Linked DNA regions of Tribolium castaneum. The main gene of each other region encodes a partner of the protein of the gene in region 2 in a complex. Links are inferred from orthologs where the notes say so. Each region holds a gene or a part of one and is shown on either strand. Other genes may lie near its edges.

Region 1 (5,531 bases), on a different chromosome or scaffold from region 2:
CTGAATAACAATTTGTGGACACTTGACGTTTGCTTCCTTAGCTGGGACTAAATCGGTCTCGTCGGTTCCCTTCCACTTCATCAGAAACATCAGCTGTCCTGTGGTGTCTGATGCTCCTATGATTTTCTCGGCTTGGTAGCCCCGTTCAAAGCCGACTTTTGATTTACTCTTGGATGAACTATCCTTCCCCTTTTCAGATTTCGACTCAGACTTTCGCTTTTTCTTGGATTTTTCGTCGTCATCGCCTTCTGATTTCTTCTTTTTCTTGGACTTATCCTCGTCGTCAGATGAGTCAGACTTGTTTTTACCATTTTCGTCGTCGGAATCTGCGTCTTTTTTTGAATTCTCTTTCTCGTCCGTGGAATCTGAACGACGGCGAGCTTTCTTCGACTTGGGCTCGCCGTCGGAGTCCTCCGTTTCAACCGCATGCTTCTTGGGCCTGCCTTTTGATTTCTTTTCAGACTTCTCTTCACCGTCCTTGGATTTTTTCTCTTTCTAGGGATACACAATTAAATAGATTTCGGGTCGAAGTGGGCTGGTTTTTGCTTGGCTTATCCAATAAACCCACCTTTTTTTTGTCACTATCCTCGTCCGCACTTTTCGTGGTGGAAGACCTCTTCGCCTTGGCTTTGCGCGACTTTTCAAATTCCGCTATGAGATCGGGACAATCGAGATTGTCTTCGGGTTCCCAAGTATTATCGTCTTCGCTATAACCTTTCCACTTGAGAAAATATTCGACCTTTCCGTTTACGACCCGCCGGTCGATAATTTTCTCAACTGAATATTCCTCCTCGCTCTCGCTGTCTTCTACCTTCTTTTTGCCCATTTCTGCAGTTTTGTTTGCGAATAACCGGTAAAGCGATGCTGACTGCGTACTTCTGGAACAATAAGTATTGCTTGCATTCAACTTCGTTACTAAAATGCTGACTAGTTAAGGTAGTGGATAATAATGCGATTGGAGCCGTTATTTACTTACTTTCAACTCTGGCTCTTAAAAAGCCACCACAAAACACCGCCGAAAAGATCCTTTTAATGGCGCTGGAAATATGGCGGGTGGCGGTTAAGAAAAAAATGGTGCCAACACAATTCAACCAATTAAAAATTGTCCAAAAACGACTCTCAGAGTTTTAAAAAATATAGCCAGGAGTTACAACTCTCATACTGCGCTCTCTGAATGAAGAGAAAATCGGATTGTTGCGAAATAAGCCTAGATTTTTTATAAATCGACGTTGAATGGCAGGCTTTAGGGAAATTTTGCGTTATTGATTGTTGTCATTTGCATTAAAGTGTGGTTAGGGAAACGTCAGTTTGTGTTGTATTTATTATTTTACGAGTTTATAAATGAGCGCCGAAGAAATGGAAAAATCTCAACTTGCAGCCGTTCTGCAAATTTTGAAAAAATACAATTTAAAGGTGAGCTTATGGCGAGTAAGCACAACGTAACATTTTTCATTAGGGCACTGAGGAGCTGCTACGAAAGGAGGCCAATCTCGGTAATAACATAGCTGATGGCCCTTTGCAACAAAATTCAGACGTTAGTAGCGTTCTGACGGGGTACAAGAGTGACGGAGATCCAGAAACCTATGAGGACTCTTACATGGAGTTAAAGCGTTTTGTTGAGGGCTCCCTTGACATTTACAAACACGAATTAGGCATGATTTTATACCCAGTTTTGGTCCACATGTACCTCGAATTGGTTTATAATGGACATACGGAGAAAGCGATAAACTTAATGAAAAAATTTGGCCCCGAACAAGACTCGTACTATCAGGAGGATCTCAGGAAGTTGGCTTTGGTCACAAAACGGGACCATATGAACGGGAACGAATTGACAGACACCTTCAAATCAAACCAGTTTATTATTCGAATGTCGCGTGACACTTTGTCACTTTTAAAACGTCACTTAAACGACAAAAAAGCGTCAGTTTTGCTGAACATCATCCAGGAACATCTCTACTTTGATATGTACGAAGGCGTAGCGAGGAACAAAAGCCAGATTGATGCCACGTCAGGTGCCGTTGGGGGAGAGGCAAAACGACAAGGTTCATTTTCGTTATCATAATTACAATAAACACATCAAAATTCCAGATAATAAAACCAAAGTCTATTACGGCATCCCCAAAGCCCCCGACATTCAGGCACTAGCAGCGCCAGTCGAAGACGAGGACGAAGGCGGCGAACAGGACAATCCGGACAAACCTAAGAAGAAAAAAGCCAAAAAAGACCCACTTTTCTCGAAAAAAACAAAAAATGACCCAAACGCTCCACCGCCTGATAGAATTCCAGTCCCGGACATGAGAGACCACGATAAGTACGAAAAAGTGAAGGCGTACAGAGAGGCCTCAAAGAGAGTTACGTTAGGCCCGGATTACCTCCCTTCAGTTTGTTGTTACACCTTACTTAACGCCAATCACACGTTAGTTGAGTTTATTCAGTGAAAATATTTTCTTTATCGGGGGTTTTTTAGGGTTAATTGTGCTGAAATCACCGAAGATTCGAGTATGCTGGCGGTGGGTTTCAGCGATTCAATTGTTAAAGTCTGGACACTTGTGCCTCAAAAACTGAAGGCTATGAAAAGTGGGGAGCAGCTGGAGGATGTCAATGTTGACGTAGAGGATGTCGTGGTAATGTTACATTTTTTTTTAATAATGAAATCGATAAAGTACATGAAAAAATATATAATCAATCAAAATTAAACGATAAGTAAAACTAAATCAGTAATTTCGATTACAATTTTTTGTTCAGAAAAGACTTTTATTATTACTACAAAAGTAATCACTCATTTTTTTAATACAACATTAAATATATTCAAAGTTAAGTTGAGATTTTAGTTTTCGCCCCCATCAAGTCGATAAAGTAGACACCGACTTAAATTAATCGACTACTTGAATAAATAGCGATAAAAATAGGTCGTTGCCGTGTGGAAACCGTCAACATGTTTAAAATCGCAAAATAAATGACTGGAAGGTGTATCATTTTTATTCATTTAAACAGTGTACTTAAAGAAATCTGCCAAGATAGCAACTTATCTGTCATCTTGGCCAGGTTCCAAAAACTTACATGTTTTCAACATGCAGGTGAGAATGATGGATGAAAGGTCCGGTGAGACTTCCAGATCGCTTTACGGCCATTCAGGGCCTGTTTACTCGGTATCATTTTCCCCAGACAAGACTCTCCTTATCAGTTGTTCGGAAGACACAACAATAAGATTATGGTCGTTGCAAATATGGACTTGTCTGGTGGTCTACAAAGGACACATGTTCCCCGTTTGGGACGTCAAATTCTCTCCCTTGGGCTATTACTTCGCTTCGGCGTCGTACGACCGCACTGCGCGACTTTGGGCCACCGACCATTACCAACCGTTGCGATTATTTGCCGGTCATTTCTCCGACGTCGATGTAAAAATTATCAATTTTTTTTTAATATTTTTTTACAGAAATTATTAATTGTAGTGCGTCCAGTTTCACCCAAATTCCAATTACGTTGCGACCGGTTCCAGCGACCGCCGCGTCTGTTTGTGGGATTGTACGACGGGAAATCATGTCCGACTTATGACTGGGCATAAATCGCCCATAATGTCTTTGGCGTTCAGTGTTTGTGGGCGGTTTTTGGCTTCCGCGGGGGTGGATTGTAAAGTGTTGGTTTGGGACTTGTCCCATGGACACTTGGTTGCAGAACTCACCGGGCATGAGAAGCCCATCCATGCACTTGCTTTCAGCAGATGCGGGAATATTCTAGTTTCAGGAGGGTTGGACTGTTTGCTCAAAGTTTGGGATTTTACCAAACTGACTGAGGAAATCAGCTCGGAGGAAGTAAATGTGTCGCATAATCCCGATGTGAGGATCGGGGATGATTATTTATTGAGGAGTTTTGCGACGAAGAGCTCGCCATTGATCAGCCTTCACTTTACGAGGAGGAATTTGCTATTGGCTGTTAGCATGTTTGATGGTGTTAGCACTTAGTTTATTGTAATGTGTATTATTTACCTTGATAAGAAATAAATTTTTTAACGATTTTTTTGGGGTTTGGTTTATGAATCGCTTGAAATAACACTAAAATGTTAAAATAGAATTCCGAGTTGAAAATAAACAGTGTCAACAACATTAAAAATGTTTGCCAGGACTTTTGCCAAAAACATTCATAATTTCTCTATGACGAATCAAACATTTTTATAATTAATATTCACACCGATAAAGTCGGTTATTCAATACTTGAAAAGAAAAAAGTAATGGTCTTGTACGTCGAAGTAATTACTTTGGTTGAACAGACGTATTTTTGGCGTCCAATCAAGAATAATATAAACAAGGATTTATTTTCGAAACAAATTTGTTGTGATAGAAAATTAATATCGTTACAAATTTTTACGCTTTGACTGGTTGTTAAAAAACAAAATAAATGTTAAGGTGCTTGTTTTAACTTTTATTTGAATTAATGTACATGTTTGTAGCTTGTTTTGTTGCGTTTGAAATTAATTTATTTGTGAATAACGTTACCTAAAAATTAGGCAAAGGATATGAAATTATTCATTAAGCCAATGTACAGGGTGAGTCTGCTAAAAGTATTATTTACAAATATACTATTTCAAAAGTATTAATTACTTTTTTTCTATACATGTAATTTTTTCCGAATATTTCTCCCTTTTCGTTATAATTAAAATTAATAAGACACCGTATGTGGAACTACGGCAGGGCCCGAAATGCCCAAAAAATCCAGCTAACCTACCTCAAGCCTAACAAGCGAAATCAAAGTAAACACATATTTTGTAAAAATATCATCGAGCGAACAATGCCAGTGGTGTGGCAGTGAACTTGTTTACGTACCTATTTTTCGAATGAACTATTTGAAAAAGGTACCTCAAAAATTCGCATTACGTGTGCTAAAAATGACTCGAGCATAAGCAAACCCAAAAACAACACTTGAAAATATCTGGAAACTGTTTACGGTTGGGATGATGGAGTAAACCCCACCCCCTATAATACGTCATTAGCTGAAAGCTGTGCAGCGTTCAGCCAGGTCCTGGAAAGCAGAGCATCTTAAGCGACAACGTTAGAAGCATCTGAGTGATATTTGATTCCCGATCGCTGCTGCAACACTAAGTAAGATATTTTTACGCTCTTAATTATAACATCGCAATTAAAAGTTGCTTCCTAAACTAGTTATTAAACTGGAAAAAAAAATAAAATTTCACAATTTGTGTGAAATATGGTGCACTTGAAGCTTTGGCCGGTGGGGCTTTGCATAATTTGCACAAATAAAATCATAAACATGTCCGGCTAAGTTAACATACTGCATACCTGTGTTAAAAATAAGTGTTTTCGGAAAATACGAAATGAATTGAGAGCATTGAATACATCGATTCTGGAAACCATCCAATAAACATGAAATTATTTATGTTACTAATCAATTTTTAAAATAGTTATGACAGGATTAAGGAAAAAATTCCAGGTCTTAAGACGTTAAACTTGGGTGTGGGTGTTACATATATGGGTACCCCCATTTGTTATTGAAGTGGTGGTTAAAAATAGCCGGCA
Region 2 (5,451 bases):
TATCTTTCAAATTCAATTTATTCGCGGTAAAAATTAAATAATATTTTACTTTTAAATTTTCGAAGAAATGTATAATTTTCTTTGTCATTTGTAATAAGGAAATAATTCATTTTTACTGAATACTATCCGAAAAAGATATTTGAGTCGTGTATAAAAGATACATCAGCTTTTGATTTTTTCTGAAAGTGTTAACAAAAACAATATAAAGGAGCCACTTTCAGAACATAATAATAGCCATCTTGATTTTTTTAATACTTACCCACAATCCACAGTAAGAGATTTTTAAAAAAAATGTTGAATAATTTATACAATCTGTCTGTCTATAAATGAATGTAGAATCGTGGTAGGTATTAAAAGTTTGTCGTTTTCTTCTTCCAGAACAAATGAACAATGTTAGTATATGAAAAATTTGGCTTTACTGGTTGTCTGAGTAGATAAAAATTGGTACTTTTCAGAAATTTCATAGAAAAGCGGGAAATTCAAATTCCAGAACGACCTGAGACCCTACACTCTTTTATAAACAGTCCGTAGAAAAGTCAGTGACAGTGTTGGTTACTATTATATGAAAAAGCAGAAGCGATAGTGAATAGAAGAATTATAATTTGTATTATAGTATAAGTAAAAACAAAAGTAATAAATATATGTTTAAAGACTATGCATAATAAAAACAACTGCAACTTTTCACATTTGGTTTTCTCTTTTAATTAGGGGCTTTTGTTGGCACTAAACTGATCACTAGAACACTAGAGTTCATTTTAAAACAAAATCGCACGAAAACCCAAAAAGTGTTAATTTGTCACCTATTTGACCCAAAAAAAATTAAATACACTATTGCCGTTTTTTTTTATAATTTTGAAATAAATATTGATAGTTTTTCTTTACGAGTCTTTATAATTGAGGCTGAACTCAGATTAAAAATGCAATGAGCATTAGTATGATTTATTAAATAATTTACTTATTTTCTTGTTATATACTGGTAAATAAGGAAACGTGTTATTTTACTTTATGATTTGCAATAAAAAAATGTATATCTCATTTCAGATCGTAGTAGAATTTTGCAACAACGCATTTGCAATTTTTTGAGTGAAATGGAGCATAAATTGAGAGCTTCTGCTAGGTTTTCTTAGCTCAAAGTGTGGCGCTGGAATTTGGTTTAACTCAGAATTTTTTTTCTTATACAGAAATTCTCAATTTGTGCTTTATTTTCACTCCAAAAAATCAAATGCGCTGTTGCAATTCTACTATGAACTGAAATGGGATATAATGAGTGTCCCTGAAATAGACTTGATGATGGAGACTAATACAAACTAAAAATAAGTATAGTTTTTGCCGATAAAGTTGTTTATTTTCTAAATTGTGCCCTATTCATAAAAAATAATTATCTATAGAAATTTACACAATTAAAATCGAATAAAACAGATTTTTTAATTAATCTAACATTGATACGCTTACAAGAAACACTTCACTATAACCCCTTTTTGGACCTAAAATTACAAAATACGATTTTTTAACCACTCCAATACTACTCTGGGTGCTGCTTCAGAAGCTCCTCCAACCCGTATTTCTCCTGTTCCTTCTCGATTTGCTCCTGCAGAAGCCTATCCAAAATATTCTGAAAGCGTTGTCTCAGCGCCAAATTCTCAATATTTTCAATTTCCATTTCCTGGTGTTGCCTCCTCATTTTCAAATTATCCAACTCCAACTGCAGCTCTTCAAGCCTCGCCAAAATATTACTCTTACTCAAATTCTGCTCTGTGTAGGAAATATTGCTGGATGACTGCTGATAATAGTCCATTTCTTGCATCAAAGAGGGGGAATTTTGCATTTCGTTGAACATATCACTGGTGAATTCTGTCAACAATTTTGAGTTTGCGGTATTGATCATCATTGAGTTGGAGTCAGTCAGGTGGCTGTCTTCGGCCGAGTTCTGACTATTGTCGTCCAGTTCCAATACGTTAAGGTGGGCGTCCTCCTCCTCTGAGTCACTCACAGCCCCCCCGAAAATATCATGTTCGGCCACGTTCTGATTGGGGGCTTCTGCAGGTTCCTTCTTCACCACGGTGCCTTTGTTGACTTTGTTTTCGTCGTCTTCGTTGATAACCTCCCATTTAACACTAACTGCATCATTGTCTATCCTTAACAATCTTTTGACTTCCTTCTCTATTTCGGGGGCTTCCACGTATTTCTTCTTCAAAGTCTTGCGGAATCGTCGCTTCCTTACGTTTTTCGTCGGTGGTGTGATCCCGTGTGGCATCAGATATTTTTTCTCCACTTTGTTGGGGTCTTTACGTTTCGACTTTTGTGGGGACTCTTCATCAGTAGTCGTTTGGTCGTCCTCTTCCTTACATATGAGCATTTGGCAAATATCGGCTGTTTTGTAGAAACCTTTCGAATCAATAGTTTTAAGGGACTCGATAATAGTGGGAAGGTCCATAACTTTAGCTGGTAAAAGCCAGTGGTCGATTCGGACTTCACCATGTCGCATGTCATTTTCTATTTTGATGGCCACCCTGTCTTTGAGGGTGCTGTTGTTTCGGATGGCTTCGCGAAGGACACGGGCTGGTTCTTCCGGTAGACGTAAAATGAACTGGCATTCGAGTTCTGCAGGTGAATCGGGTTCGTGGCCCCCTTTGTACATTTTTTTTTTTTCAATAATTGGGGCTTAAATTAATACAAAAGTGGATTTGACACGAATTTTAAACTTAATGTAAATGTAACAACACCATATTTTAATTGCTAAAAATGACAAACTTTTATTTGTTGACGGTTGAGGTTATGTTTGTGAGTTGTGGAGGTTAGGTATGCTAAGTGGTTTTCTGATTTATCGGCCGTGGGTGTATCTGTTGGTTGGGGGAAGTGGAGTACTGGTGGCGCTGCATGCTAAGACTTTAAGTCAGTGGCGTAGGTTATTTATCATTTATCTGTTTTTTCTTGAAATATTTGAAATATTTATTGTCTGACAGTGTTTCTTTAATTGTTTGTAAGTGGCCACATTGAATTTGGCGGGACAGTAAATAACTTTTTACCTAACAGTATGATTTTACAAAATAATGGCCAAGTCGTTAAATATTTTGGAATTAAAAATTTTGTTATTTCACTGAGGGCTAGAAAGTGGCGTGTTCTGTTCAATATTAATTTTAGTTACTTGATTTCGGATTCTGAATAAGTTTCGGATTGGCGTCTATAAAAATCCGAAAAACTTTGTTTTGTTTGATTTAATTTATTTGAAAATGCATTTTTTCTATATCTCATTTCAATTCATAATAGAATTTTGCAACAGCGCATTTGTAATTTTTGGAGTTTCTGGTTGGCTTTCTTAGCTCGAAACGTGTCGCTGGGATTTAGTTTAACACAGAATTCTTTTCCTTTACCGAAACTCTCAATTTGTGCTTTATTTCTCACTCCGGAAAATTCAAATGCGCTGTTGTAATTTATGGAATAAGTTTACTCGTGACTTCGTCACCCTTAAACTAAACTTTTCCACTTGTACATAAACAATCTTTTTATCGTCTTGTATAATATTAATAACTCTTGTATATAATCAGCATCAATTATTTATTATAAGTTGTACATCTTAAAAACATTCAAATAAACATAATACATCAAACAATGATCTTAAACCAACAAAAAACAATGAGATGTTTTTTGATTTTTTTGTACCTAGATTAGATACTTGTCATTCCAACTCAATAAAATGCCAATAAAGCAATTTACTGAATATTTTTTTTAAATAACGTTTATAAAAATGTAAAATACCAAGTTGTTAATTATTATTATTAGATCTGTATCTGTCACTGGAACTCCAAATTACATTAGCTATTAAGTTATTGAAGTGCATGAATAATAAATTAATAACAACTAACTTTGAGAGACAAAAACCGGAATAGATATTACATTACTAAAAAGCAGATTAATGTTTACGTAAATAGTTAAAATACATATATGTTTTTTTTTACATAATTATGATCAAGATTCATTCAAGATTTTTTTGCTCAACTTCTAATATTGTGAATCCATTCTACTTTACGAAATTTAAATGAAAAATATAGATTAATGTTTAAACTAGACAGGCACTAATAATAGTAATAATAGAGATTAGATTCTCAGCTACCACTATAAAAAAGTAGTAATATATTGCATTTTCGATTTTTTCCCATTTTTAAAAAGTAATAATAGTTTTTAACTGTAATTCAAAAATTTAAAGTAAAGGCAAACATTGCATAGTTTTAAATATTTTAGTATTTTACGAAAATTATTACCATCAGAACTTATTTCTCCATACATGTGTAGGTAATTTTGCAAATACCCTTTGCTACTTTTTGTTATGCTTTATTGTTGTTATGTGCAAAAATTACTTAAACAATGTCACTGGCTGTGTATCTCACAATTTAAAGCCTAAATTTAATTGTAATTAAATTCGAATTCCCAATTAATTTGACTTCTAGCTGCAACGTATAAGGTAATTTAATACAAATTAGTCTAGTAGTCAACTAGTAATTGATTAATTCTTAGTATTCTTACTAACTTGCCATTACTTTGCAATACTCAAGTTAGAACTCTATTAATAACGGTTAAACAACTTAATTACGTCCTTTTTGCAAACATTTTGAGCATCATTTCTTTGTTAAAAAATAGTAATAATAATAATAAATAATAAAAAATATAGTACCTACCTATATGTTTTCACCGACTTAATATGTTATTTAATTATTTTTAATTATAAGATATTGTAAAAAAAATCTAAAAAATTCACATTCATAGAGAAAGAATAAAGCAATTAACATCAACCGCTAACTTCTTTGTGGTTAGTTTTTGGGGTAGTATTTTTATCAAACTCACCCTATATACACATCAAAAGGAAAAATTATAACAAAGAAGAAAAATAAATTACAGCTGACTTCTTGAATCTGCTAATAAAGACCGTTTTTACCATAAAAATTATTGGGTCAGTGATAATTTTTTGTGATATTTTATTAAAGAGATCCTTAAATTTACAAAAGATGGATTGTTGGGGCACCACTACTATGTGTAGTTTTGTGTACTTGTTGATTTCACTTCACAGAGCTTTGGAATAGTTGTGATTTTTTTTCAAACAATAATTTTGTATTATTCGGATTTTGCCTCTTTGAGTGCTAAGTGATATTTAAATTTATAATTTGAAGGCTTTTATTATAATTTCTCAGTTCTACAGGCTGTTCCGTCTAGATCCCACATTAGAACTATTGAAAGTTCTAATAAAGATATTTATTTGAAAGTTAATACTTAGTCATAATCCGTTGAGTACTGTTAAATGAAAATATTTTCAAGATGGCGGCACTTCCGGTTATACCGGAAGTCGCTATCAACTTTCTTATTTTAAATGAAAAGCTATGTTTTCCACTGCATTTTTGGATTAGTTGAGTTATTTTAAGGGAGTTTTTATTAGCTTTCTCTATATCTAAGTTTAACTGT
Region 3 (5,599 bases), about 8.0 Mb from region 2:
TAAAATTTCCTTTCAACAATCTTTAAATAAATATTCCAGCGTGACGATATCACTGCAACGGTGCATCAACATTTTTTACAGATTTTTCCAGGCTTGGCAGGGAAGGTAGGTACTAATGCATCTCCAAAAATAGATTTTGTTTGCCTTTTTTACAAATATTTACAATTATTAATGACAATATTAAAATGCTTTGCGACATGAATTTTTAGAATTAAAGTTAAAACTGTTAAAAAATTTTTACTCTCAAATTATTCAATATTAGAGGTTTCACTGTATCTAAATGAAATTATCTGGAATATGTAGACAAAAAAAGAAACATAAAAACCGATGTCAAACTTTTCTTAAATCATTGAGTAAGTTCGAAAATGTCTACTAATTTCTTTACTCAATTAGAGCACTAGAACTATTAATATTTACAAGAAGATAAGATACCCCGGACGTATGAATGATCTAATTAATTAAAACAATTGTGTGCATTTTTTCGTTATTAGAATACATTTCAGAGTTGATGTCACGTAACGACAATTGAAAAGTGGTCTTGGATCCGTTAAAAAAACAATTGTAAGTTTTGTGTTAGTTATTCGTAACAGTAATAACAAAGTGGTTTAAAACTCACTAATTACAACAAAAGTGGGTGTCATTTATTTAATAAGAAGTCGTAAGACTTCATTGCAGAAAGTGAATGAAATTTTGGTAATAAAAAATTAAACTAATCCGAATTAAATTATTATTTATTTTACATTGTTAAGCATCAAATTAAACAGGAATAAAAATCTGAATTTGTGCAAGTTTAATTAAATTTACCTAATACAAGTCTTAAGTAATACTCAAATCTTAAGAAAATTGCAAAAAACGGAATAAATTCCGTGATATAACGAAACCTTACTGACAGAATGTAACGCAAAAGGCTTCATTACTTTAAATAGAATAAACGTGAAAAGTAACAGGATAGATAGATAACAATTGGGAATAATTATTATGTCATTTTCATATCTTTAACGTATAGATTTTGCCTCCGACTTGAGTTATAAAATCGGCAATGCTCCTAGTTATTTTTTAATTACGTAAATGAGTATTAGTGAGCAAAAATGTGATTGTACAGTGACAAAGAATGATTTTTCTAGTAGTACTGTATTTAAAAATATGTCAATTGAGACTTTATCAAAAAAAATAGATTCATCATTGATCTGAAAACGAAGGGCATTTAGAAATATTGTACATTGTTTGTTTAAGTTTGTTTTTTTAATTTACGACGTTGCAACTTTTAACTCAAAAATTAAAAAAACTTAAAAATTGGCACTTAATAGGCAAATGGGCAAAAACAAAAAAAGCTTTTAGAAAAATCTTCTAGTTTATGATTTATTGTTTTTTACTGCCATTTCCTTACTCATATCTGTTTGCTATTTAAAAATATTGTTAGAGGCGACCAATTGTCTTGAATTTATTATTTATTATCGGTTTTTTATTGTAACAGTAGGGCACAGAAAAGAAAAATTTTTTTCAAAATTATAATCTTAGAACTTTTGTTTAACTGCGACCTAAAATTTCAAAGCACGGCTCCAAGACAATTTTTTATAACTCTTCAAATTGATGTTTTTTTCCTGTTCTTCGCTAAACCAAAAGGGCATTTTAAAAAAAATAGGGAATTAACTTTTTTGTAATTTTACATAGTTATTTTTTTTACTTTTTACATAGTCCACAGTGCAATGGTTCGTTAGACCACTATTCCATAAAGAAAGTCTTATCGAGCGTAATAATTAATTACACAAATACTTACATGTTTGATTTTTTTTGCACACAAAAAAAGAGTTTGACATTTCTAAGTCTTTGGACTGTTTTACTAATTTTTTAGAGTGACACCACTGCCGGAAAGAGGTGTGTAAGCTTTTTCGTATCGACTTCTTTTGAATTAATCAAAAAAATAATAATAAATTTACAGCTTAAAGAGTGCTTTAAGCAGTGGCAACTGTAGAAAAAAGTTGTTAATACGTATTTTCACGTTATTTGAGCTTCCGAATGTATTTTCAATCTCGAGCTGATGGTCTCAATTGTCAACTAAAATTTACCATAATTTTAGTGGTCAAGGCACTTATCTTCACAAAAATAAAAAAAATTAAACTATTAGACGTAATTTCATTGGAAAGCTGTCTGGTTAATACTTAAAAAAATCATAACTAAAAAACTATTGGGAATTTGGAGATTTTCTCGGCGCCCATCGATTCCTCGGATCATTTTACATAGGCTTAGACCAAAATAATTCCACATTTTCGAATAGTTTTGGTGTAATAGAGAAAATAAAAAAAATATTTTTTTGAATTATCCTCACCTTCCTCCACAACCTCTCCAACAAAGACCTTGGCAATCCCAGCCATAGCAATGACCACATTCTGGGAAACAGAACACCCTGTAATCGTCTGCATCAGCCTTTTAATTGCAGCTTTGGGAAACGCCGACCTCCTGTACATCTCATATCGATCCAGCTGATCCTCGGTGAAATTCGAGACTAGAACCCTTACAACAAACCCTCAGTAAACCCCACTTTACACCAACTTACTGCATTTTCTCGCGCTCTTCCTCCTCCATCTCCTTCCTAGTCTTCACCTCTTTCTTCTTAGCCGGAGCGCTGCTACTTTGAGGGGCTTCCGGCATTATTATATCCGACTCCAGGTACACATTTTCTTCGTCTTTGATGTGAATTTCAGACGTGAGCTGGGTCTCCTCGACTTTGACTGTCTCCACAGTGGAGTCGTCGTCTTCGTCCATGGACTCGTAGTTGGGGTCAGCTTTGATGATTTGACTCGTGGAGGCTGGAGGTTTCGCAAAAATGTTGTCCATTGTGTCTTTTTTTCACATTATCTATTTATTTTTTTGGAAATGAAGTAAGGTTATGTGTTAATTTTGACAGAAAAAATGAGCGATCGCTGCTCCCTCTACTGGTAGTTCTGTAGTTCCGTGCAAATCTGAGGTGGCGCCAGTGTCAAATTCCAGTCAATATATCACACTCATATTTGACAATAATTTTGTTTATTGTGTGTAAAATAAGGCGAAGTAAATGAAACGATGAATTTCTCTCGAGTTTGAGGCCCAATTCGCAGTGATAAAAATTGTGATAACGTGTCGGGTCGATTCGTCGCGGTGAACGACACAAAAACGCTTTTTTTTCGTTGTTTTATTGCGGGACCAGTTAATTCGCAATTAACCGCTTTTGACAATGTTCTAGTGTGATAATCGTACGAATTTGGCAACAAAATCACGTTGTAAGTATCCCAGTTGGTGGCTTTTGTTTGCTGGATGACAACTGTCAAAATGTCAAATCGGGCCTGGAGCCCCCTTGATCACCCAAGCGTCCACAGCATTGTGTGCGAAACCGTTAGCTGGGAACGCTTGGAAAGGCACGAAATTGTGGCTATTTTGAATTTTTTCACGCAGGTGCTCGCCGACTGCACGCAGGGGGCCTTAGAGCGTTGGATGGGGCTTGCTGTGCCCCAATTTTCTTGCACTGGCTCCCACTTCAACCACCACCATTACCCCGCTAAACCAAGAAGGTGAGTCGCGATTCCACGTTTAGATTATTTCCCTGAAAAAATGCTCAGTTATTTGCTACAATTTGTGGGGACTTCAAGGGTCACAAGTACCTAAAGTTTTTTTAAAATTATTTAGATCTATTACTTAATTTTGGCCACCCCTGCTTATGACAACAGTTATTAAATGAAACATTTATTGATTAATTTAGAAAATAATAAAATTACAAACTTTGACCTGGGGACATATTTGTAGCACACAACTTCTTTATAATACAAGTTATCTTTCGAAATTTCTTTTTTGTGAGACTTCAAATAAACTACTATTAACTGCACAAAATGTTAGGTGGGATATTGGTGATTTACGGCACGAGCCTAGCGAGTGCTGCATGAATTGCGAGTTAGGTACAATTTTTTTTTTGTATTATGTATAACTTTTCGTAAATAAGATGATTGTTTCTACGTAGCGATACGTAGTAATAATAGATGTTGATGCAGAGCAAAAAAAATATTTGATTATTTTCGATTTTTGTATATCAAACAGTCTTACCATTAGCGGAATTGCCCCTCGCCAGACTTATTAAAAATGAAAGAAACAGACTGGTGGGAGCTGTGTAAAAGGGATGAAAATTTACAGCAGGTGCATAAAGTTCGTACGGTGGGAATTGGGGATGTAAAATTGCACGAGAGCTAAGTGCACATTGCAGAAGAAAAACGAAAATCGTAAAGTTTGTCGGGACTGTAGAAATAAACGTCAGTGTTATTGCTACTGAAAAGGGGAAAATCTATAAAGCTTTATGTGAAAGGTTTCAGATGCAATTTTCGTGAAAGAAAAAAAAAACAATAAGATGGGACGAGACATTTTGTACTAATTATAAATCGGAGTTAATTGATATTGATTTTTTACACCCACACAACAAATTTAATTAATTTCCGTCACAGAATGAATTAATGTTTGGTTTAATAAGTTGCGTTTTAAATGTTTGGGATGAGGTCGGTTTTTTGTTGTTGCATTGTTCTTTGTTTTGAACCGTTTTAAATAAATTACCGATCAGGTGATGGACATTGCATGTCGGTTAATTAACTGTTTTTCCAGTTGTTGAGAGAACTGTCTATAATTTTTTGCATGAATCATATACAGGTTGTTCCAGCTATGACTTTCTCAAGTTATATTTCTGTTATTATTATTAATATGTGGAAATTCCTCAGATTTAAATTAAAATAAAGCAACGTTAGTGAAGAAAACACATCTTATGAGTTATATAAGTTGAAGGATTTTAAGAAACTAAGCTCTTTTAATAAATTATAATTATAAAATTATAATTCTTTTTTCTATTTAAAAAATATATGAAAAAACTATTAGTGATTTAACCGAATTTGAACTTCTTTATTAGGCTTCACAGCAATTATTTTTTTTGTGTTTTTTTTGCTTAAATATTTGATAAGCGTTTACTTTTACGAGAAATTTTTCTTTCTCTATGTCTGTGTTTTTTTTTTTCAAAAATTTTACCCTTTCTTCTAATTAAAATTAATTAATCAAGGATGTTAATATCAATAAAATTAAAAATATGAAATGATGTTTTCGAGAAAGAAACTCTTACAAAAATTTTTGCTAGCACCAAAATTACGTGTATTTCAAATTTTTTAATGATTTTTAACACGAAACAACATTTGAACGTTGTCACAAGAAATAGCAATTTTTTGTAGCGATTTGAATGTAATTAATTCTAGAAAAAATCTGAAAAAAATTACAGGTTTAGAGAAAAATACAAAGGATTTAATACCAAATGCTGAATTCTGTGCGATTATTAGTTTTCGTAAAAATATATTTTTAGTATACTCAGGGCCAGTTTATAGAAAGCTTCATCAAATTTTAATTCGTTGTTAATACTTAACAACGCGAAAAGACCAATCACATTAGCTCAGTTTAGTCACGTGATCAGTTTTAATCACTCATTTAATTGCGAATTAAATTAATGACGCTTTTATAAACCGGTCCTCAGTCTCTGTTTTTTTTTTTTTTGAGAATAAAGCGTCTAATGTCTTTAGTTACATTTTTTGAGGGATATTTTAGACTT

The links.
Region 1: Taf7 (region 2) and Taf5 share a complex: the UniProt entries of both Homo sapiens proteins name them as parts of the TFIID basal transcription factor complex. The link is inferred for Tribolium castaneum from reciprocal best matches to the Homo sapiens genes TAF7 and TAF5.
Region 3: Taf7 (region 2) and Taf11 share a complex: the UniProt entries of both Homo sapiens proteins name them as parts of the TFIID basal transcription factor complex. The link is inferred for Tribolium castaneum from reciprocal best matches to the Homo sapiens genes TAF7 and TAF11.

Annotation. Positions count from the first base shown.
Region 1 is NC_087398.1:2,407,314-2,412,844, forward strand, and holds Taf5 (cannonball), read left to right. Parts: upstream 1-1,292; 5' UTR 1,293-1,356; coding exon 1,357-1,413; intron 1,414-1,456; coding exon 1,457-2,042; intron 2,043-2,088; coding exon 2,089-2,416; intron 2,417-2,467; coding exon 2,468-2,624; intron 2,625-3,077; coding exon 3,078-3,398; intron 3,399-3,452; coding exon 3,453-3,962; 3' UTR 3,963-4,015; downstream 4,016-5,531. Other genes in the region: heterochromatin protein 1, read right to left, coding at 1-495, 569-826. UniProt on the Homo sapiens protein: The TFIID basal transcription factor complex plays a major role in the initiation of RNA polymerase II (Pol II)-dependent transcription.
Region 2 is NC_087394.1:13,419,668-13,425,118, forward strand, and holds Taf7 (transcription initiation factor TFIID subunit 7), read right to left. Parts: upstream 2,813-5,451; 5' UTR 2,639-2,812; coding exon 1,523-2,638; 3' UTR 1,324-1,522; downstream 1-1,323. UniProt on the Homo sapiens protein: The TFIID basal transcription factor complex plays a major role in the initiation of RNA polymerase II (Pol II)-dependent transcription.
Region 3 is NC_087394.1:5,383,361-5,388,959, forward strand, and holds the start of Taf11 (transcription initiation factor TFIID subunit 11), read right to left. Parts: upstream 3,264-5,599; 5' UTR 2,836-3,263; coding exon 2,555-2,835; intron 2,512-2,554; coding exon 2,327-2,511; intron 1-2,326. UniProt on the Homo sapiens protein: The TFIID basal transcription factor complex plays a major role in the initiation of RNA polymerase II (Pol II)-dependent transcription.